2 linked regions of the Oryctolagus cuniculus genome follow. The protein of the gene in region 2 purifies or fractionates together with the protein of the main gene of each other region. This does not show direct contact. Links are inferred from orthologs where the notes say so. Each region holds a gene or a part of one and is shown on either strand. Other genes may lie near its edges. The genes, in order: ATF1 and ATF2.

Region 1 (12,259 bases), on a different chromosome or scaffold from region 2:
AAGCGGTGTTCCAACAAGCATTCTGTGTTCCCACTTTCTGTGAACTTTTGAAGTTCCCCAGTACTTTTGAAGTTTGCAGGACTTCTGAGATTTTAAAATGGAAGGCTGCCACCTAGTGGACATACTTAGATGGAACCTTTAAACTCTAATAAGCTTCTAAGAGTTGGTGCAGGACAAGACTCTGCAACACCAGGTAAGAAGGTACAGGGGCCGCCGCCTGCAGGGCCGGCATCCCATGTGGGCGCCGGTTTGAGTCCCGGCTGCTCCAGTTTTGATCCAGCTCTCTGCTATGGCCTGGGAAAGCAGTGGAAGATGAGCCCAAGTCCTTGGGCCCTGCATCCACTTGGGAGACCCGGAAGAGACTCCTGGCTCCTGGCTTCAGAATGGCCCAACTCCAGCCATTGTGGCCATTTAGGGAGTGAACCAGCGATGGAAGAGATCTCTCTCTGCCTCTCTGTAACTCTTTCAACTGAAGTAATAAATCTTAAGGGGAAGGGAAGGGACGGAAGAAGGAGGAGGGAGGGAGGGAAGGAAGGAAGGTCCGGGGCTTGTCACCAAGACCATCCAGAAGGGGAAGGAGGCGGCTCCTGCCCCTCCCAAAGCAAAGGCTCTGAAGGCCAAGGTGGCAGTGCTGAAAGGTGTCCACACTCGGCAAAAATGCGCCTGCTGTCACCCACACCCAGCCCCAAGACCCCCCAAAGAGCGCCCGGACGATCAAGCCTGACAGCTCTGCCATCGACTTCCCCCAGCACCACGCGCACAGAAGACGACAGCACAGGCGTGCTCACGTGGACTCAAGCTCCGCACCAAAGAGGCGGGGAGGAAGCCCCACGACACTACACGGCGAGAACAGCGCCCTGGCCAGGCCCAAGACAGAGGCTTGTGTTCAGCTGGCTCCTGCTTATCAGTCCTCCTGCAACCACCCCCTGCAGCCACCAGCTGGCTAATTCTGAATGCCACCTTCTCACCATGAGAAAACAAAGAAAAGGCGCAGGGCCGTGTTGTGGCGCAGCTGGTTAAGCTGCAGCTTGCAATACCGCCATCCCGTTATCAAAGCACCAGTTCGGGTCCTGGCTGCTCCACTGCTAATGTACCTGGGAAGACAGCGGTGGAAGATGGATCAAATGGGTGGGCTCCTGCCACCCACGTGGGAGACCAGATGGCGTCCCTAGCTCCCGGCTTTGACCTGACCCAACCCTGACTGTTCCAGCCATTGCGGGGAGGGGGGATAGCAGATGGAAAGTTTGTCTCTCCCTCCCTGTTACTTTGCCTTTCAAATAAATCCTAAAAAAAATAAAAATAAAATAAAAAAAAAGAGGGGCCGGCACCGTGGCTCACTTGGTTAATCCTCCGCCTGCAGCATCGGCATCCCATATGGGCGCCGGGTTCTAGTCCTGGTTGCTCCTCTTCCAATCCAGCTCTCTGCTGTGGCCTGGGAAGGCAGTGAAGAATGGCCCATGTCCTTGGACCCCTGCATCAATGTGGGAGACCTGGAAGAAGCCCAGCTCCAGCCATTTGCAGCCATTTTGGGAGTGACCCAGCAGATGGAAGACGTCTCTCTCCATCTTATCCCTCTCTGTCAGTAACTCTTACTTCTCAAATACATACATTTAAAAAAAAAAAAAAAAAAAAAAAAAAAGAGGGGCTTGCACTGTGGTATAGCAGGTTAAGATGCCTTCTGCTGTGCCAGCATCCCATATGGGCGCCGGTTCGAGTCCTGGCTGCTCCACTTCCAATCCAGCTCCCTGCTAATGGGCTGGGGAAAGTAGTGGAGGATAGCCCAAGTCCTTGGGCTCCTGCCACCAGGTGGGAGACCTGGAAGGAGCTCCTGGCTCCTGGCTTGAGCCTGGCCCAGCCCCTGCCAATGCAGCCATCTGGGGAGTGAACCAGCAGATGGAAGATCTCTTTCTCCGTCTCTCCCCTCTAACTCTTTCAAATAAATAAATCTTAAAAAAAAAAAAAAAGGAAGGAAGGGAAGTAAAGTGACTGTCCCCTGAAGATTCCTGCCAAACTCTCCCTACAACAGGCTTCTGAATTCTACAACCTTGATGTAAATGTTATCTCAGAGTTTTTTAAAAAGACTTTATTTACTTGAGAGAGTTAGACAGTGAGAGGGAGAGACAGAGAGAGGTCTTCAATCCGGTGGTTCATTCCCCAAATGGCCAGAGATGGGCCAATCCGAAGCCAGGAGCCAGGAGTTTCTTCTGGGTCTCCCACGCAGGTACAGGGGCCCAAGAACTTGGGCCATCTGCTGCTTTCCCAGGCCATAGCAGAGAGCTGGATCGGAAGTGGAGCAGCTGGCGCCCATATGGGATGCTGGCACTGCGGGCGGAGAATAAGGGCTTGATAGTGAACTTAAAGGGCCAGTCACAGGTATAATCAAATATACAGTGTCATCGTGTTTAGTAGTTGAAATGTCAGCATCTCAGTCCCGAGTGCCCGAGTTCAAGACCACTCCAGGCGCCACAGCGCTGGCCCTGTTTCACTGTTTTATAGTAAAAGTTTATATATATATATATATATATATATGAGCAAATGATGTTATATGATTATCACAGTTATATTTTGATAGATCTTATAAAGCTATGGCTTTCTGTTCCTTCAGAGGCAGACAGAGCTCCCATCCACTGGTTCACTCCCCAAATGCCCATGATGACGGGCTGGGCTGGGGCTGGAGCCAGGAGGCGAGTACAAGGGCAGCAGGGATCCAATTACTTGAGCTAACATTGCTGCCACCCCAGTCTCAGCGAGCAGGAGACCGTAGTTTTTTGTTTTGTTTTGTTTTTTTTAGATTTATCTTACTTGAAAGTCACCATTACACAGAGGACAGGTCGGGGGGGGAGGGTCTCTCCCCAGATGGCTGCAACGGCTGGAGCTGTGCTGATCCAAAGCGAGGAGCCAGGAGCTTCTTCCCGGTCTCCCATGTGGGCGCAGGTGCCCAAGGCCTTGGGCCATCTTCCACTGCTTTCCCAGGCCACAGCAGAGAGCTGGATCAGAAGTGGAGCAGCCAGGACTTGAACCAGCACTCATATGGGATGCCGGCACTGCAGGCGGTGGCTTTACCCACTAAGCCACAGCACTGACCCTGGAGTGGTCTTGAACTCGGGCACTCGGGACTGAGATGCTGACATTAACTACTGAACACGATGACACTGTATATTTGATTATACCTGTGACTGTCCCTTTAAGTTCACTATCAAGCCCTTAAACTTCACACACATTGTATCAATTTCTAGCATCTTTCTGGGTCTCTGAACTGCCATTATGACAACTGATTGCATGATTCCGAGCCATACTATGTACCTTGTGCCCCTACAAAGTCTACATATTTAACAGGAAAAAATACAGATTTAACCTGGTCTAATTGGTGTAATAATTGGTATAAGAATAAATACAAGATTTCCAAAGCTCTAATCAATGACCATGCTCAATAAAATTAAAGAGACATCTTATTATATGCCCTTGATGTGTCTGTGGGCCATAATCTATTTCCATCAACACAATACATGAATTTTAAAAAATATATTTATTTGAAGGTATTACAGAAAGACAGGGAGAGGGGCCAGCACTGTGGCATAGTGGGTAAAGCTGCTGCCTTGCATCCCATATGGGTGCCAGTTCGAGTCCTGGCTGCTCCACTTCTGATCCAGCTCTCTGCTGAGGCCTGGGAAAGTAGAAGATGGCCCAAGTCCTTGTGTCCCTGCACCCCCATGGGAGACCTGGAAGAAGCTCCTGGCTCCTGGCTTCGGATCAGCGCAGCTCCGGCCGTCGTGGCCAATCGTGGAGCAGCCAGGACTCACACTGGAACTCCGATAGGGAATGCTGGCATCACAGGTGGCGGCTTAACCCACTGTGCCACAATAGCAGCCCTGCAATACGTAAACTTATAAACTCATGATTTACTAAGTAAAATACTAAGCTAAGGAAATAATTCCATTAGTCTTGCATTTTGGAAGTCCGAATTCATGTCTGTACTCTTATCATTTGAAAAAGTTATAAAGTCCCACACTGGATTCCAATTAGAAAAACATCCAGGAAAGCAATTCGGTGTGCATTTAAGGAAGCCTCAGCGGCTTGCCCAGGCCTGTTGTACACATCCAGAGGCACTAATTGGGTCTGGTGAGCAAGACTTTACACCAGAAGTCTGGGGCAGCAGAGTTTACAAATACCTGACAACATGCAACTACTACAGCACAAAGAGCTGGATCATCTTTTTTTTTTTTTTTTTTTTTGAAGATTTATTGATTGATTTGAAAGGCAGAATTACAGAGAGGTTCACTCCCCAACTGGCCGCATGGCCGGAGCTGTGCCGATCCGAAGCCAGGAGCCAGGAGCTTCTTCCAGGTCTCCCAAGCGGGTGCAGGGGCGCCATTTTCTACTGCTTTCCCAGGCCGTAGCAGAGGGCTGGAGCAGCCAGGACTCGAACCAGCGCCTATATGGGATGCCGGCACTGCAGGCGCTGGCCCCGTGGCTCACCCTTGACACGATGAAAACTGCTGGGGACAAGCTTTGTGGCGCAGCACTGTCGGCTGCTGCCTATGCGGGCCGGCTCGCGGCGCAGTTGCTTCACTTTCAGGTTAGCTCTCTGCTAATGCGGCTGCAGACCCTGATGGCGTGCCAGGCTCCGGGCCCCCGCGGCCGTCTGGAGAGTAAACTCTTCCTCTCCCTCTCTAACTCTGCCTTTCACATCAGTAAATAAATCTTTATTAAGAAGACACTCTTCTGACACAACCCAGTGAGCATATACCTCCCTCTGCTCCTGAGGCCTCAGGGACACTGGCTGAGTTTACGGCTTTACACGCGGTATTAAGTGACGTTAGCGTTCTGGTGATCACACTTCAACAGCGGCAGCCAAGTCAACGTTGTCCTATTTTAAATGCCTTTTGAGTAACAGGATTCTACAGGGGGATCCATCATAAATGTATGAGTTAAAGACTGCCTATGTAACAGTCTCCTTTAACCATGAGTTAGCTGAGTTTACTCCAACTGGTCTGATGGAAACAAAAAATACAACCATAATCCTCCAGAACTAACTGCAAACGTACCTCATTAAAAAACTAGAACCGCCGTCATTAGTATCTTTAACACAGGCTATCAGTAAGCCTTCACCCACACATAAAGCATCAGCTTACGTCCAGCAAACTTAATTTTATCAAATTCTTTTTAATTTCATGGACAATATGATACATATTGTATAGAAGCACACAATAGTTTCGCGGTACAATTTCAAAGTGTATACAAATTGGAATACAGAGAGGTTAAACACAGGTGTATGTACTGACAGCATTTCTCTTTAGATAAACTGCATATAAAACTTACAATGCAAATATTAGCCAATCTGAAAACTTTACTCTCATAATATAAAAATGATACTTTGAGATGCAAATGTTTTTTACTAAACAAACTATATAAACATTTAAAATAATCATTAAAAACTCAATATTAGAATTTATAAAGATCAGCTATAAAAATATATTGGCAGTCACTTTTCTTATAAAGGTACCATTCACTACATTACAAAATAGTCTCTAACATAAAATTACCTTAATAATCGTACTATTTTAAGATCTGATAAACCTTACATTGACTATAAAATCCTCTTGGAAAAACTTTGGTATGCATCTTCAGGTTTTTTTAAAAATAATATATTTTAAGGGCCTGTAAACATTCCATTCTATTAAAGCACACAGAATAAGTAATGGATATTCAACTGCATACAGAATACAGAATCAAAAAAAATTTATTACATATTTGTAGAAAATCACCATTACCAGAGTAAGCAAGGACCAATTTAAAAACATTAAACTATTAAACAGTTTTCTTTCCATTCTGATAAAAAAAAAAGTTATAAAATCACCACACTCCATTCATGTACCTTAGATAGCTTTAGGACAAGACCTCAAAATGGTTAACCCAGTTTCAAAAACCCTCTCAAGTCCAACAAATAAACTTTAAAAAAAAAAAAAAAAACTCACTTAAAAGACCTGACAATGGAACAAGCATATATAATCATAAAACATAATTTATCTTTTAGTAATGTACTAAGGTTTTCTTTTACAATTGTAATTTAGAATTTATTGGCAAAAATCACACACACACACACACACAACTGAAAAAAAGGTAAATTTCAGGAAACAATAAGAAATGCAAACCTATAGGGTAAATTGATTTATTTTTAAAAATTCAATTTACCATATTTCATCTTTTTTGTATTTCTGGGTTGACACCATTGTTATTTAGAAAATGCCTGCTTCTTGGTTCTTGAGTTTAATTTTTACACAGCTTCCAGTTGTGCCCAGAGCTTCCTTGAGGTTGTTTTCCACTTAATCCTGTCGACACATCTCTTGCATAAGATATCTTTGTTGCAAAAACCTAAATAAAAAGCTTCACTTTTGACCTTTTAATTTATAAAACTCTGCTAAAAAGAAATCCATCTAATTTTTAGGCAAGTCCACAAAAATATTTTCTTTCTTTCTTAAGAATCAAACACTTTTATGGGAATAAAGATCTTTTAAAGTCTTTAACTCTTCTATCAGAGTTTTATTTTGATTCTCCAGAACTGCAACTCGATTCTCCAGGCATTTCACATACTCTTTCTTCTTTCTGCGACATTCTCGAGCAGCTTCTCTAAATATAAACATTTGTTTTGAATGTTAGAAAACAACTTTACATTCTTTAAATAGTAAATTTTCTTCTGTAATTTTACCTGGTCCCCTTTTCCCCCTCATTTGAAAACTTAAGGTATTACCTACATACAGCAAAGTAAACAGATCTTAAGAGTAGAATTCAACCAGTTCTGGCAAACGCCCATGCCTGCATCACCTGTACCCCTGGAGAGACAGCACATGTCCAATGCCGCAGGAGGTTCAGTCAGTGCTTTCCCAAGCAACCACTAGTCTGATTTTGTCACCGCAGCTCAGTTCTTCCTATTCTAGAACCTCAGGCAACAGTGTCAGTAGGTTCTCTTGTGTCTGGGTTGCCTTCCATTCAACATAGTTTTGAGGTTCACCCATGTTGTTGCATGCTGGTTTGTCCTTTATATTGTTGAATGCATTCCACTGTGTAAATATAAATTATTTATGTATTCTCTTGGGCTATTTCTAGCGTTAGCTGCCATGCATGTTGTGTGCCAATCTTTTTGTAGATTTAGGTTTCATTTCTCTTGAATAAATACCAGAGAGTAAAATTTAAGGGTCTTCTGGTTAATTGTTCACATAACTTCTTCAATTTCTGGTTATTAAGTCTGAATTATAAACAATGCTTGAGGGGCCAGTGCTGTGGCATAGTGGGCTAAGCCTCCACCAGCAGCATTCCACTTCCGATCTATCTCTCTGCTGTGGCCTGGGGAAGCAGTGGAAGATGGCCAAGTCCTTGGGCCCCTGCACCTGCATGGGAGACCTGGAAGAAGCTCCTGGCTCCTGGCTTCGGATCGGCTCAGCTCCAGGCGTGTGGCCATTTGGAGAGTGAACCAGTGGATGGATGGAAGACATCTTTCTCTGTCTCTCCATCTCACTGTCAGTAACTCTACCTTTCAAATAAATAAAATCTTCTAAAAAATTTTTAAAAAGAAAGAAAACCCATGTGTTTAAAAAAATAAAAATAAAAACAGTGCTTGAGCCAACACTCAGTTCTGTGAGATCCTCTTAGAACACTTCTGGGAAGGCACATCAAGTTACCCAGTATCTATAAAGAGGTGGATGCTACCTTTGGCTTTTTATACCATATATGTAAATCTGAATTGCAACACGTTCTACACATGCTGTTTTAACGATCTTTCTGTTAGTACACAGATCTCTATTTTTCAAGGCAGTGCGTAGGACCTGTAATTATTAACCAACACCTCCCAGAAAGACTTCCAAGAGGCCTCCAGTGAATATCCTATACATGTCCCCTGTCATATATAATGTGGGGTCTCAAACTATATGCATTTAAATCAAGAGATGCTGCCAAATTTCCTTCCAGGGCATCTACCAATGTATATCCTTCTCAGCACTACACTCGGAATATCTGCTTCTCTTCACTTTCTCTAATTTCTGATGTTATAAAAATTACAAAATTTTTGTCTAATGGCTACAAACTTGTATCTTCTTGCTTTAATTCCCATTTCTTGATTATGCAAAAAGTCTGATGTGATTTCATGTTTGTAGGCTATGTATTTTTTTCTTTTCTTAGATCTCACATTTATTTACAGAAATAAATCTATTTATATACCTATTACATTTGGCTGTACAGATACAGGTAGGACTGTATAAGCTATAATTCTTTCTCTATATATAGATCTCTATCTATAGATCTATATATCTATAGATCTCTATCTATATCGATATCTATATATATATCTATAGATCTATCTATAGATCTATATTGATACAGATATATACATCTATATATATATATCTATATCGATATAGATATATAGACACCTATATATAGTTGTATATATAGATCTATGGATCTATAGATCTAGATATATATAGAGAGAGATAGATGCAAATATTTTTCACAGGTAAAAGACATAGTTTTAAGCTTGTTATGGTATCTTGTCACACAGAAGCAGACCTGCTGAGTCAAAGACTATGTATTATAAAACTTCAATTTTGGGGCTGGTGCTGTGACATAGTGGGTAAAGCCACCATCTACAGTGCCAACATCCCACATGGGTGCTGATTTGAGACCTGGCTGCTCCACTTCTGATCCAGCTCTCTGCTATGGCCTGGGAAAGCAGTGGAAGATGGCCCAAGTCCTTGGGCCCCTGCACCTATGTGGGAGACCCGAAAGAAGTTCTTGGCTCCTGGCTTCGGATCAGCGCAGCTTCAGCCATTGCAGTCAATTAGGGAGTGAACCAGTGGATGGAAGATCTCTCTCTCTCTCTCTCTCTCTTTCTGCCTCTCCTTCTCTGTTTAACTCTTTCAAGTAAAAGAAATAAATCTTAAAAACAAAAAAAAAAAAACAAAAAAAAAACCACAATTTCCCTCACTAATGTACGTGAAATACCTTTTCTCTATGTACTCAATGGCAGTCACTTTTGAGTTTCTGCCGTGTGACATCTTGTTAATTATTTCACTACTTATGAGGACGAGCATATTTTTCAAGAGTGTATTGGTCTGGTTTTTTGTAAATGTGCAATTCACTTACACTTGCTCATTTATCTATCAACTAGGTTGTCTTTCTAGTGGTTTCCTTTTTTTTTAAGATTTACTTTTATTTATTTGAAAGAGTTAGAGAGAGAGGTAGAGACAGAGAGAGAGGTCTTCCATCTGCTGGTTCACTCCCCAATTGGCCACAATGGCCACAGCTGTGCCGATCCAAAGCCAGGAGCTTCTTCCAGGTCTCCCATGTGGGTACAGGGGCCCAAGGACTTGGGTCATCTTTTACTGCTTTCCCAGGCCACAGCAGAGAGCTGGATTGGAAGAAGAGCAGCCAGAGGCCGGCGCCGCGGCTCACTAGGCTAATCCTCCGCCTTGCGGCGCCGGCACACCGGGTTCTAGTCCCGGTCAGGGCGCCGCATTCTGTCCCGGTTGCTCCTCTTCCAGGCCAGCTCTCTGCTGTGGCCAGGGAGTGCAGTGGAGGATGGCCCAAGTGCTTGGGCCCTGCACCCCATGGGAGACCAGGAGAAGCACCTGGCTCCTGCCATCGGATCAGCGCGGTGCGCCGGCCCTGGCGGCCATTGGAGGGTGAACCAATGGCAAAGGAAGACCTTTCTCTCTGTCTCTCTCACTGTCCACTCTACCTGTCAAAAAAAAAAAAAAAAAGAGCAGCCAGGACTAGAAGCGGTGCCCATATGGGATGCCAGCGCTTCAGGCCAGGGCGTTAACCTGCTGTACCACAGAGCCGGCCCCCACCCCCCATTTTTTTAAATAAAGATTTATTTGTTTATTTGAAAGGCAGAGTTACAGACAGGCAGAGAGCGAGTGAGAGAGAGAAGCCTTCCATCCGCTAGTCCACCCCCAAGACGGCCGCAATGCTGGAGCTGCGCTGATCCGAAGACTGGCATGGCAGCTAGGCTGTCACTTGGGATGCCTATGTCCCATAACGAGTGCCCGGTTTGCATCCTGGCTGATGTTTCCAGTCCAGCTTCCTGCTAACACACTATCTAGGAGGCCTCAGGTATTGGCTAAAGTACTTGGGTCCCTGCCAATTTTATGGAAGATCTGGATTGAGTTCTGGGCTCTGACTTAAGTCTAGCTTAGCCCTGGCTGTTACAGGCACTTGGAGTGTGAACCAGTGGATACAGATCTCTGCCTGTCTCTCTGCCTAAGAAACAAAACAGGGGTCCAACTTAATTTCATTCAAGTGTGGGGCTAGTTGTATCAACATCGTTAGTCAAAACTAAAGTAACCTTGCAAATGTACTTAATAGCAAAGAAGGTACTTCTGAGCTGCGCCATATTTAATAACATTACTCTCTGTTCTTGTGCAGATACCAAGATACCCACGGCTGATTTTGATGTTACTGGATTATTTCAGTGCCTAATAAAACAATGGGGCCGGCGCTGTGCTGTACAGGGTTAGGCCACCACCTGCAGTGCCAGCATCTCACATGAGTGCCAGCTGGAATCCTGGCTGCTCCTCTTCTGATTCAGCTCCTTGCTAACGGCATAGGAGAGCAGCAGGGGATGGCCCACATCCTTGGACCCTTAAATCCATGTGGGAAACTTAGAAGAAGCTACCAGCTCTTGGCTTCAGATCGGCCCAGCACTGGCCATTGTGGCCATTTGGGGAGTGAACCAGCGGATAGAAGACCTCTCTCTCTCTCTCTAATTCTGCCTTTCAAATAATAAATAAATAAATTTTAAAAATAAAACAAGTAACCTCTTTCTCTTCTTGAATACTTATTTCTTCCATGTAGACTCTCAGCTTATTTTGTCTACTTCCTTAACAATGTATAGATTCTAGTTTGAACTACACTGAATTTACATGCAAAATCTGAAAGAACTGATACTCAATATTAACTGTCTCTCTCTTAAACAATATATTTCAGTATATTTCCTAATTGTTCAGATACAGTTTTAGTTACAAGATTTTTTAAATGGATTTTATACCTTTCCTATTAAATTCTTCCTAGGTATTTCACGTTTTGTCATTAATATGGATGCAGCATTATTTCCCACTGTTATTTTCAAGATGGTTACAAACAGCAGCAGAACACCTGTGATGGCTGACTTTGTGGGTTAACTTGACAGGGCCAAGGGATGCCCAGGAGAGCCGGTAAAGCATTACTTCTGGGCATATCTGCGGGGGAGCTTCCAGAAGGGATTAGTATTTGAATGTGTAAGTAAAGAAGATCCACCCTCACCATTGTGGGTGGCCATCATCCAATCCGCTGAGGGCCTGAATAGAACAAAAAAGCAGAGGCAAGGTGAATTCTCAAGACCTGAGCTGGACACTCCTGGTTTCCTGGTGTTGGCCATCAGCAGCACTCGTGTTTCCTTGACCTTTAGATTCTGGGACTTACACCTGTGCCCCTGTCCCCACCCCTGATCAGCCTTGGGCTGAGCTACAAAACTGGCTATCCATATTATTATGGAAAGGGATATTATGGGGTTTCTCAGTATATAATCTGGTGAGCCATCTGTTTCTCTGGAAAATCCTAACGTCTTACTAAATTTACTTAAAAATCACTGTGGATTCTAAACATTTGTTTCTTATGAAGCAGTATACACATAAAAAAGCCCATGTGGTACGGATATATGTTAGGAAGCACAGCAAATAAAATGAGGGTGAATACGTGCAATACTCAAGAGGACACATCACATGTACGGGGAGGCAGCCCTCGGTACTCTGGTCTCCGGCTCATCAGCAATCACTAGTTTCAACTCTCTGCTCACGGTCACAGCTCTAGTACGTACGTCTGACTCCACACAGTAAATCATCTTTGGTTTCCTAATTTTCCAAGATCATAAAATATTACACTTTATATATTGTTGCAAGTTCTTTCTTTCACTTAACTTTCATTTTTCTAAGCTTTATTCATGTTGAAATGACCACTCAATCCTTACAAATGGAAAGTACTGCATAGTATAAAATCAGTCCCAACTTCTGCATCCATTCTTTTATCAACGGATATTTGGGTTGTTCCCTGATTTTTGCTATAAACATCTTATGCATACTTCTGCAAGTCTCTCAGTCACATACAAAGCAGTCAAGTCATAAGATATCCAGGTCACCTGCACAAGGTAAGGCCTAATTCATTTCCAAAGTGGTTGTGTCAGGCCCATAGCAGTATCTAAGTTCTGTGGTTCTAAATCCTGACAACTCCT
Region 2 (11,995 bases):
AACATTGTGGCACAGCAGGTTAAGCCACTGCCTACATCAGCATCACAAATCAGGCAACAATTAGTGTCCTGGCTGCTCTGCTTCCTATTTACTTCCCTGTAAATGTGCATGGGAAAACAGTGGAAGATGGCTCAAGTACTTGGACCCTGCCACCCACATGGGACCTGGACAGAGTTCCAAGCTTCTGGCTTAGGCCTTGGCCATTATAGCCATTTGGGGAATAAACCAGTAGGTCAAAGAACTCTCTCTGCCTCTCCCTGTCATTCTGCCTTTCAAATAAATAAAAAGTTTTAAAAAATAAAATTGCTAAATAATACAACTTAATAATTCCCAGTTAAGAAATCACATCTTACTAATAACTGCCAACTCTAAAGTTGGCAAAATTATAACAAAGCTAGTGCATTAATAACCTGTCAACAGTGTAAATTTCATCAACTCTGAAGAGTTGGCAATTTGGCAACTGGAGAAACAGTTTTAAATCCTTGGCCAGTAATCCCACTTGAGATTAGTATTCTATGGAAACAAGAAAGAAAAAGACACATGCACAGAAACATCCAAATCAATATTCAAGTAGTCAAAAACCTCAAAATTATGTCCCTGTTGGGCATGTAAAACTGAGCGCACTTTGATAGTGATTTTGTTAACTATCATATAACTATCAAGTATAGTTTAATATATATCTATCAATTATAAAGCTTAGAGAACATGGGAAAATACAATGTTACAAAAGTAAAAACTTTTCTATGATATATTCGGTAACAACTACAGTACATGTACAACAGAAGGATGCAAAAATAGTCATTTATTAGTATGGCAAAATGAGTTTCCAATAACGCTGTTCTAAAAAGTATTCAACCAATACAAGAAAACATGTTAGCTCAAACTATAATTAAGAAAAGCAAAGCTTTAAAATTTGAAGACCAAGGCCAGCACTGTGGCTCAGCAGGTAAAGCTGCTGTTGAGATCTGCTGCACCAGCATCCCATACGGGTATAGGTTCGAGTTACAGCTGCACTGGTTCCAATCCAGTTCCCTGCTAATGTGCTGGGAAAGCAGTAGAAGATGGCCCAAGTGCTTGTGAGAGACCCAGAAGCTACTGGCTCCTTGCTTTAGATCAACCCTGCCTAGGCCATTGCAGCCATTTGGGGAGTGAACCAGTAAAGATCTCTTTGTCTTTTCCTCTTTCAAATAAATAAATCTTAAAAAAATAAAAATAAAAAAAATGGGGGGCCGGTGCTGTGGCATAGCGGGTTAAAGCCCCAGCCTACAGAGCTGGCATCCCATATAGGCACCGGTTCGAATCCCAGCTGTTCCTCTTTAGATCCAGCTCTCTGCTATGGCCTGGGAAAGCAGCAGAAGATGGCCCAAGTCCTTGGGCCCCTGCACCCACATGGGAGACCTGGAAGAAGCTCCTGGCTCCTGGCTTTGGATTGGCCCATCCCAGGTTGTTGTAGCCATTTGGGGAGTGAACCAGCAGATGGAAGATATTTCTCTCTGTTTCTCTGTCTCTCCCTCCCTGTAGCTCTGTCTTTTAAAACAACACAATATTCTTTAAAAAAAATTTAGGGAACATATTTATAAATTTAAAGGGGCCTGCATTGTGGCATGGTTGGTGAAGCTGCTGCCTGCATTGCCAGCAACCCATATGAGTGCCAGTTTGAGCCTCTGCTAATGGTTTGGGAAAGCAACAAAGGATGGCCCAAGTCCTTGGGTCTCTGCACCTAGGTGGGAGACCCAGATGAGGCTCCTGGTTCCTGACTCTGACCTGGCCCAGCCTCAGCTGTTGTGGCCATTTGGGAAGTGGACCAGAGGACAGAAGATCTATCTCTATGTAAACTGACCTTTCAAATAAAAAAAAAATTTTAAGGTTAAGATTATAGATGAAAGTGGTCACATACTACCAAAATAACAAAAGTCCATTTGGTCTTTTGCCAATTATACAATTATTCCCACCCTATCTTTCACTGCCAATCTTGTTCAGAATCTCTGTGATAATAAGCCACCACTACTATTGATAGTATATCCTATTCCTTGGTTGTTAAGGCAAAAAAAAAAAAAAAAAAAAAAAAAAAAAGTTTGAGGCCCACTATCTGACTTAAGGTATGTTAACACAGACATGGGTGAATAGGCCAAGATCTCACAGCATTTTATTTGCATTCCCTCTTACTGTAAAAATGTTTAAATCAATATACTACCATGGCCAAAATGCTAAGACGAAAAAAATTATCACTAAGATTTTTAAAAAATGAATACACTAGTTTCAAGGTGGTCAACAAAAATGAAGAGATCTAAAATAAATATACAGATTTATAATTATATTTTATATTTAATATGAAAAATACTCATAATTATTGATGACTTTAACAATTCTGGATATTCTATGAAATGATACTAATTTTGGCCGGCGCCGCAGCTCACTAGGCTAATCCTCCACCTTGTGGCGCTGGCGCACCAAATTCTAGTCCTGGTTGGGACGCCGGATTCTGTCCCGGTTGCCCCTCTTCCAGGCCAGCTCTCTGCTGTGGCCAGGGAGTGCAGTGGAGGATGACCCAAGTCCTTGGGCCCTGCACCCCATGGGAGACCAGGAGAAGTACCTGGCTCCTGCCATTGGATCAGCGCAGTGCGCCGGCCGCGGCGGCCATTGGAGGGTGAACCAACGGCAAAAAGAAGACCTTTCTCTCTGTCTCTCTCTCTCACTATCCACTCTGCCTGTCAAAAAAAAAAAAAAAAAAAAAAGAAGAAAAAAGAAAAAATGAGTGGAATACTTTAGCAAGTATGGTGGAATTGTTTGATATCACAACTTATCAGCAGAGAATAAATAATTAGAAATGAAGTTTTTCAGGGCCGGCGCTGTGGCGCAGCAGGTTAACGCCCTGACCTGAAGCACCAGCATCCCATATGGGTGCTGGTTTGAGTCCCAGCTGCTCCACTTCTGTTCCAGCTCTCTGCTACAGCTTGGGAAAGCAGTAGGGGATGGCCCTAGTCCTTGGACCCCTGCACCAACATGGGAGACCTGGAAGAAGCTCCTGGCTCCTGGCTCTAGATCAGTGCAGCCAGCCGTTGCAGCCAATTGGGGAGTAAACCAGCGGATGGAAGACCTCCCTCTCTGCCTCTCCTCTCCTTGTGTAACTCTGACTTTCAAATAAATAAATATACCTTTAAAAAAAAATCAAGTTTTCCAAAATGCAAAAATTTAGAGAGGCAGAGACATAAAGAGAGCTCTCATCTTCTGGTTCACTCTCTGAATGCCTGCAATAGCCGGGACTTGGCCATACTGAAAGTTGGGAGCTAGAAACTCAATCTGAATCTTGTCTTCCCTCATGGGTGGCAGAATTCAACTATTTGTAATAATCCATTGTTATCCTAGGTGTTCATTAGCAGAAAGCTGGAGTTGGGAGTGGAGTGGGACTTGAACTTAGGCAGTCTGATATGTGATATGGGTGTCCTAAGCAGTGTCTTAACACTAGGCTAAATGCCCATCTCCAAAATAAAAAATTTAAGTAGAAGCGTAGATGACTTCTTCTAGTTAATGCTAATTAAAGATAGTAGATGTTTGATGGACAACACATCTCTTCAATTTTTTACTTATTTGACAGTCAAAGAGACAGAAAACACTCCCATCCACTGGTTCACTCTCCAAATGCCCACAGTGGCCAGTGGTAGGGAGGGTCAGGAAGGAATAACACCAGGATCCAGGAACTCAATACAGGTCTCCCATTTGGGTGACAGGACCCAACAACTTCATCCTTCACTGCTGTCTCCTAAGGTCCACATCTGCACAAAGCTATAACATGGAGCTGGAGCTGGAGCAGGCAATGGAACCCAAGTAGTGTGATGTGAGATATGGACATCCTAACCGGTATCTTAACTGCCAGGCCAAATGCCCAATCTAGCATATCATTTTAAAAAAATACTCATTTAACTTCCAAATCCTGAATACCAATGAAAAGTACTCCCTCAATTTTTTGTGAAGGAGTTGCAGTAATAACTATTTCTACAGTTTAGTTAAAAAATAAAGATGGGGGCCAGCGCAGCAGTATAATGGGTCAAGCTGCCGCCTGCAATGCTGACATCCCACGTGGGTGCTGGTTCAAGAGCTGGCTGCTTAATTTCAATCCAGCTCCCTGCTAACATGCCTGGGAAAGTATGCAATAATGGCTCAAGTGCTTGGGCCCTTGCACCCACATGGGTGACTTGGAAGAAGCTCCTGAATCCTGGTTTCAGCCTTGCCCAGCACTGAGCTGTTATGGCCATTTGGGGAGTGAACCAGTGGATAGAAGATCTCTCTCCCTCTCTGTCTCTTCCTTTCTCTGAGTAACTCTGTCAAATAAATAAATAGATATTTTTAAAACATTAATAAAAAATAAAGATCTAACCTACTGGTTAAGATGCCATTGTCCCATATACAGGGGTTCCCAGTACCCAGGTTTGATAACTGGCTCCAGCTTCTGTTTCCAATTGATGTAAACCCCAGAAATCAGAAGTGATGGCTCAAGTAGTTGGGTCCCTGCTACCCACATGGAATACTTGGACTGAGTTCCTGTCTCTTGGCTTCTGCCTGGCCCAGTCCCAGAGGTTGTAGGCATTTGAGGAGACAACAAGCAGGTGGGAGTTCTGTCTCTCTAACAAACTTCAAAACAAATTTAATGAAAGAAACCAAAATCCCACATAAAAAAGTTAATGAAGGAATTTCTGCAATGTTTTTGATAGTACAGTGCCCCAAATACAAAACCAACATTCTAATAAGGTATTTGAAAAAGAGTTTACATGAAATTCTACCAGATCTACATAGGCATTACGTACCTTAAACACACAGAAAAAAAAAAGTCCCTGAAAACTCCAGACAATTAAAATTTTAAAAACTTAAGTTCTAAACTACACATATACATTTCAATTTAAAAAAAAAAAACAGCAGCAACATCCTCTCAAGTCAAGATTAAACATGTCTTAGGAAGGCAGCATAAATATCACTGTAGATGTGGAAGATTCTTGCAAATTATTTTACAAAGACCAGCATTCTCAACTATTGACCTTAAAGATCCATGAGCTTTGTTAAGTCTTTTTGACTTGCAGAAGGGTGTAGTGTATTTTTTTTAACATACTTTACAGAAAGTTCCCATCATTTTGATAAAAGTGTTTACAGTCGATTCTTTAAACCAATGAAACAAACTGTGTTTCTAGTTCAGAGTTCTTTTGACAAGGCTTTATAAACAAAGTCTTACCTTCATAATTTCGGTACAACAGATCTGGGCTACTTGGCTATTGAACATTATGCCTAATATGGTTATTACTGACACTGGCAATGCCAGTGGTTACGAATTTCTTCAAGTAAGAAGTGTGCTCAGAGAAGCAGTTTTTGTTCTGATTTCAAATATATGCATTAAGTATATACATGGTGACTGCCTCCATAATTCATAACTTTCACATTATAATTTAGGATTAGTCAATAGCCCTGAGGTCCATCAGGGGTAATTTATTTTGCTCCACCGTATTCGAGGTAATTTTATACTACCTGGGAGTACAAGTCGTCCCCTGCCCCTCCTCCTCAGTCCTCCTCCTAGCTTCTGATCTAGGAACCAGCATACAACACACACACATACACACACACACACACACATATACACCTCGTCCTCTCTCAGTCCTAGACCCTAGGGTACCGATTTAAAAAAAAAAAAAAATCCCCATAGAAGATCTGTAGTCCACCCAGGGAAGCAAACGAAGAGGGAAAATACCAGAATCAGTCTGCACCCACACCTTGGCCCCGCCCCACCTGGAAAAACTGGGGGGTGGCGGGAATGTGAGGGTGGCAGAAAGGACAGAAAGGGCCGCGACTCCAGGCTCCCAGGCTCTCGCCACCATTCATTTCGTCAGGTTCCGCCGAAGGCAGGGACCCTGACCCTATTTTCAGCCTCGCCTCGCGATCCTCCTCCCCGCCACCATCACAAACCCACGGTCCTCAACCGCAAGAGTCCTGCGTGGAGAGAGACCATAGTGGGCCCTGCTCCTGCCCAATCCAAGGGCTGAGACGGGGGTGTCTCCCCCCGCCCCGCGCACTCGGCGGGCCCGACGCCCCGGGGGCCCCGGAACCGACCAGGGAAAGGGAGGCAAGATCGGAGGGAGGGGTCTAAGGGGAGCCGTTATCCCTTTTTCCTCTTCGTTAGGAAAGCGCGCGAGAGGGAGGGGCCGGAACAACGAACGCCAGTTACCTAACGGTCCGGCCCGGCCGGTCAGGCTCCCGACGCGGAAGCCGCGCGCGCCGCTGAGATGGCAGCACAGCCTCGCTCGCCCCCAGGGCTAGGGACCACGGCAGGAGCGCCAGGGGTGATGAGGCGGGGGATGGGGACTATGGTGAGCGACGTCGCCATGTTAGCGCCTTCTTTCTCTTTCCCTACGGTCGCCAGCCCTGCGGCCCTCTCCCCATCACTACTCACCTTTGCAGGTCACTGGCTCATGATCCTTTCGGTCGCCCAGGAGCCCGAGGACAGCCGTGTTTACAAACTACCCCGGAGGAAAGGGCTGAACCGCACTTTAAAGGCCACGGGCTCCCACAGGCTTCCGTCCTCTCTCGCGAGATCAGACTGACAACCCTTCTCTCCGCCCCACTCCCAGCATCCCCCCTTTCTTCTCGCGTCCCGGCCCGCCACGCACACGCCCCTTCTTGCCTTCCTTCTGAGGGAGCGCCTCCGGGTCAGGTGATTCCGTCAAGCTTAAGGAAATGGGCGGGCCCTCAGGAGGGCGGGGACGGAGGGGGCGGGAACAAAAGAACACCCGGGCGCAGATGATTGGAGAAGGAGCCTGAAGGGCGGGAAGCAGTTCTGGAAGGGGCGGGATCAGAGAACCCAAGGAGCGTCGTCTCGGTAACCCTGGAGCTGCGGAAGGCTGTGATTGGCAGCCAGCTGGAGGCGGGCGCGGGTGCTGGGGCGCCGGAGCAGGTGGCTGTGTAGGGCGCGGGAGGGTGTCGGGCTTGGCTTGTGAGACACGGCGAGTGGCTGGAAAGAAAGCAGGACGCGTTCTCCGAGCCCAGCTCTGAGATCTCACCCTATTTCCGTTGCTGTCACTTCCTGGCCCCGGTAGGGAGGTGGGAAAATCGAGGGGAGGGGAGCCTCTAGCCCACCTCCCAGCTACCCGGAAGACTGGGAGGGGGAGCTTCGGTTCGGCTGAGATTTGGGAGAGGCGGAGTTTGCCGATAATCAAGCAAGAGAAGTGGGTTCTGAAACGAAAAGAAAAAGCCTTTACCTTGGATGAGTTTTCTTTGAATTTACTAAGCTATAACTGGAACTGGGTTTTCGGAGTTCTTTTTCCCAGCACCTAGTACAGTGTAGGATATTAGCATGTAATTTTGTTTGAAGTAATTTACCAAAATACACTGTATTTCCAGTATATCACCATCATTTAAAAACTAAGCAACGACTTGTTTCTAAGAGCAAAGCCTCCATATTAAGTGTATTCTATTTTATTATTTTTCCTTTTACAGATAAAAATATATCAATTTTAATAGAGCTGACTTTAGCCCTTTAAAACTGCAACAACCCCCTATTAACGTTTCCTAGAGGACCAAAAAACACCAAATTAGAGTATGACATGGAAATAGCACCCTTCTTTGTTTCTCTGCCTCTTACATAAGTAATAAGACAACTACATACCACATTGGAGTACGTGGTTTGCTTCCTGCTAATGGACCCTTAGTGACAACAGTGATGGCTTAAAATCAGGTTCCTGAGCGCACATGGGAGACCTGGATTGGGTTCCCAGCTCTTCCTGTGGTCCTGGCCCAGCCCCAGGCATTGCAGGCATCTGAGCAGTGAACCAGTCTATCAAATAAATAATGAAAAATTTAAAAAGCAAGCAGTTCCTGCTTGTCTGTAGCTAAATATAACCCAGAATACTATACACTAGGGTATCTCCTATGTCTGCATAACTCCTATGTCTTGCCTAACTAATCTGTGGCTGAGGGAGAGAACCTCTGGATTTTCATGGTATCCTGAAGATGTAGCCTAATACAAGGGATTAATTGGGATTTTACTAGTGGGATCAAGAGGTAGGGAGTTAGAGGTGTGTGTGTGTGTGTGTGTGTGTGTGTGTGTAGTGAAATAGCAGGGGGAAGCAAGGCATAAATAACCCCCTGAATCTGAGATGAGATGAGGCAGCATGGACCTAGACAGTTTAGTTGATTTGTTTCGTAGCTTTCATCTCATGGCAGATCTTTCTTGACCCACTCTTGACAGCCCAGGGTTTTCCTGAACATTCCTGACATGGCCCATGTTAAAGTTACCTCCTCAGCACATGTCCACTTAGAAATTTCTACTTAGGACATTTCAAGTGCAGAGATGTCCAATCCAAATCCTTGGGTTATCAGAAAAATGTATAGTCAATTGTGTCACTGTGGGAAAAAAATTAGAGAGCTGTACTCACCTTCAAATCATACCCATGAGCTATGCCAGCTTCAGTGCAACCAGCCCAGAGAGGGAGAACAGAATTTAAGATGGCTTTTTCTTTAGCTCTCATCTGACTCTATAGAAAGAGGGATCACCTTCATTATATTCTGCTCTCCCCACACTTCCAAGGTATCAGTAAAAGTGGGTGAAACCCTCCCTAGTGTAGAGTTGTGTAGCATCCGAGTATCTACCCTTTGTGGCTCCCAGTAACCAGTCTATTTGTCAAGTTGAGGCCTACATAATGACAAAGCCATGGATTCCTTATGCCAGAAACCAAGACAGGTCTGTCTGGTCCTGTGGTTCCTCCTGGGTCCTTGGAACTAACACCCTGTTCTTTCCAATTACCTTCTTCCCTTGCATACAGCCTCTTAGGTCAACTGTCAACTGACTTCTCAGTGTCTGTGCTCATAAAGCATCTGTATATATTGGCATGAACATGCCATGCACTGTTCCTGGCTGTGAGGCTGCCACTATAAATAAGATGAAGTCCCTTAAGGAGACTTTGTGGCGTGAGGAGGGATGAGGAGGCACATGACATACATCAACAAAAAGATAATTTAATAGTGGTTAAGTACCACGGAGAAAATAGGGTATGATAACAGGGAGTACTGAAAGCTATGTTGTTTGACAAAAAGAGAACTTGAGAGTAACAGATACTGTAGAGAGGTCTAGTGAGGGGGGCAGTTCTGTGAGCTGTTCCCAGAAAATACTGCTGTTTCCAGCATCTGAGACTCGGTCAACCTATGTAGCTATTTGAGGAGGCAAACCCTGGGACTCAACTATAACAGGAGATCCTGGAATCCCCGTGGCTGGGAAGTGCTGACTAAAAGCTATTGTAGAAAAGCAGCCACTGCCAACAACCATTGATCCTCAGTCCCTATGAAGATCAGCTGTGGGATGCTGGCTCTTGCTAATAGGAGGGACAACCAAAGCCCTAGGATTTATGAGTCTCTGCTGGGACTTAGGCCAATTATGAGTCCCTCTTAGGCCAAGTCCTTTCTTCAATATTTGAGCTCCCTTGAGAAAGAAGACCTAAGTTACTAAACATTCCAGAGATACATTACTTACGTCATTCAGGAGAAAGTACAAATTCTTGCTGGGAACCAGGACCAGTTTTTAGAGATTATAAACAGATTGATGGCTGAAAGTATGTGACCTAGAGTGATAAGGGTGGGAGGGACATGGATATGGGTAGGGGGAAGAGGAGTATAAATAAATTCATGCCATCTGCTTTTTAAGTAATCTATAAAAACAAAGGTATTTAAAAAAATAAATTCTGTACCCATGATAAGTTTTTGCCTCTGTAAACTATCAAAGCAAGTCAAGGTATCATGTTGCTGTTGGCAGAGACAGAATGCAACTATCATATGTGCTGAGGCAGAGGATGGTATTAAATGCGCCCCCCCTCAAAAAAAAAGTTGTCCTTAATGGTGGACCATGTGTTTGAGTCCTAAGTACATCATAAGATCAGTAGACTAATACCATGAAAGCTAAACTTAGCTTCTCTCCAAGATTTTGAACTCTGAAATTCTTTAAATTTCTTGTCTCTTGGCTCTTACAAAAATGGGTGTTCAACCTGATTGAGAACCCTGGGCCCTCGAGTCTTCTCTTTTATTCCAATTTCTTACCCCTATTACCTTCACCTGTTCCTTATCCTGTTTGGAGTTCATAGGTCAGTCTGTTGAACACGGTGCCTGTATGCCGCTTCGGCCTTCCTCCATTTCTTCTGGCCAATTCCCAGCCCGAATAATTTCTATCACTGTGCACCTCAGTTCACATTAACAAGCTTCCCAACACTGCTGGAGAGTCACAAAGTAGGTCAATGAGTTTCACTACAAATTCACATTATCTACCTGGAGTTGGGTCCTTACTGGTCCTCTGCAGTGCATTTATTCACATCTCCATACCACACACCATACCTTTCCTCTTCCCAAGCCCAGAATCCATATGTAAAATTATACCTCCTCTATTTTTTTAAAAATTCACCATTTCACCCAACTAGCCTTTTCCTTGTCATCCCTACAACAGTCACATAAAAAAACCAAAGCAAAGGTTTTAGAATAAAAGAAGGTCTGGCTTTGAATCATGACTTGGCCACTTAGTATCCATGTGACTCTGGGAGTTAACTCTTCTCGAGCCTATTTTTCTTTGCATATTGAAAATGAAAAAAAAATCCCAATTTTGCAGGATCATGATAAGGGTTAAATGGCTGTATATGAAGGGTCTTCACAAAGTCTATGGAAAATATGACTTATGAAAAAAAACTATGCATGGGTTTCAGAATTTTATACCTAAAATTATTCAATTCCATTTTCCTAGGAATTTTAAACTGTAGACCAAACAGGATAAGGAACAGGTGAAGGTAATAGGGGCAAGAAACTGGAATAAAAGAGAAGACTCAAGGGCCCAGGGTTCTCAATCAGATTGAACATAGATTTTTGTAAGAGCCAAGAGACAAGAAATTTAAAGAATTTCAGAGTTCAAAATCTTGGAGAAAAGCTAAGTTTGGCTTTCATGGGATTAGTCTACTGATCCTATGAGAGGCAGAGAGGGGAGACAGATGCTCCCATCTGCTGGTTCTCTTCCCGGATGTCCACAATGGCCTGTGCCTGGCCTGAACCAGGAGCTGGGAATGCAATCCAGGTTTCCCACATGGGTGGGTGCAACCTAGTTACCTGAGTCATTATTGCTGCTACTCACCGGCAGGAAGCTGCAGTCTGGAATTGAACCCAGGTGCGAATCTTGACCCCAAGGTAAATGTATGCTCTTTCCACTTTTTTTTAAACTTATTTATTTGAAAGATTTAGAGATCTTCCATCCACTGGTTCACTCCCTAGATGATCTCAAAGGCCAGTGCTGGGCCAAGCCAAAACCAGGAACCAGGAACTGCTTTCGTCTCCCATGTAGGTAACAGGGGCCGATGAACTTGGGCCATCTTCTACTGTTTTTCCTGACCATTAGCAGAAAGCTGGATCAGAAGTAGAGTAGCAGGGACACGAACCAGAGCCCATAGGGGATGCTGGCCTTGCAGGTGGCAGCTTTACCAGCTACACCACAATGCCAACCCCACCACAAACTTTTTAAAAGTACTCTTGTTTATAAAACAGGGAGCACAGAGAAAAGCTATTGCACCATCTCTCTTCTAACTGGTTCCCAAGATCTAGGAATCACGTTCTACTGCTGTAAGTTTTGCAGGCTCTTCTTAAAATACTCATTGCCAGGGAGCAGGTATTTAGCTTTACAGTAGGGAAGTGCCTGGGTTTGATTTCTGGCTCCAATTCCTGGCTTTAGCTTCCTGCTAATGCAGACCCTAGAAGACAGTAGTGACGGTCAAGTATTTGGGCACTGCCCATGTGATGCCATTTCTGGCTCTCAGCTTCTGCCCCATCCATTGTAGATATTTGTGAATGAACTGACAGATGGGAGCTCTCTGTTGGTCTGTTTCTGTTTGTCTTTCTGCCTCCCAAATATTTAAAAAAATAAATATATGCATTGCACCATCCTTGACTTTTAACAAAGCTACTGCAGCAACCCACTGGTCGTTGCTAAACTCAAGTCCAT

What was found.
Region 1: the proteins of ATF2 (region 2) and ATF1 purify together in Homo sapiens (affinity purification with mass spectrometry; 3 studies listed by BioGRID and IntAct, with this or other methods). This does not show direct contact. The link is inferred for Oryctolagus cuniculus from reciprocal best matches to the Homo sapiens genes ATF2 and ATF1.

Annotation. Positions count from the first base shown.
Region 1 is NC_091442.1:53,793,344-53,805,602, forward strand, and holds the end of ATF1 (cyclic AMP-dependent transcription factor ATF-1), read right to left. Parts: intron 11,331-12,259; coding exon of another isoform or gene 11,296-11,330; intron 6,628-11,295; coding exon 6,483-6,627; 3' UTR 5,144-6,482; downstream 1-5,143.
Region 2 is NC_091434.1:65,969,324-65,981,318, reverse strand, and holds the start of ATF2 (cyclic AMP-dependent transcription factor ATF-2), read right to left. Parts: upstream 6,713-11,995; 5' UTR 6,662-6,712; exon of another isoform or gene 6,431-6,661; intron 6,292-6,430; exon of another isoform or gene 6,206-6,291; intron 1-6,205. UniProt on the Homo sapiens protein: Transcriptional activator which regulates the transcription of various genes, including those involved in anti-apoptosis, cell growth, and DNA damage response.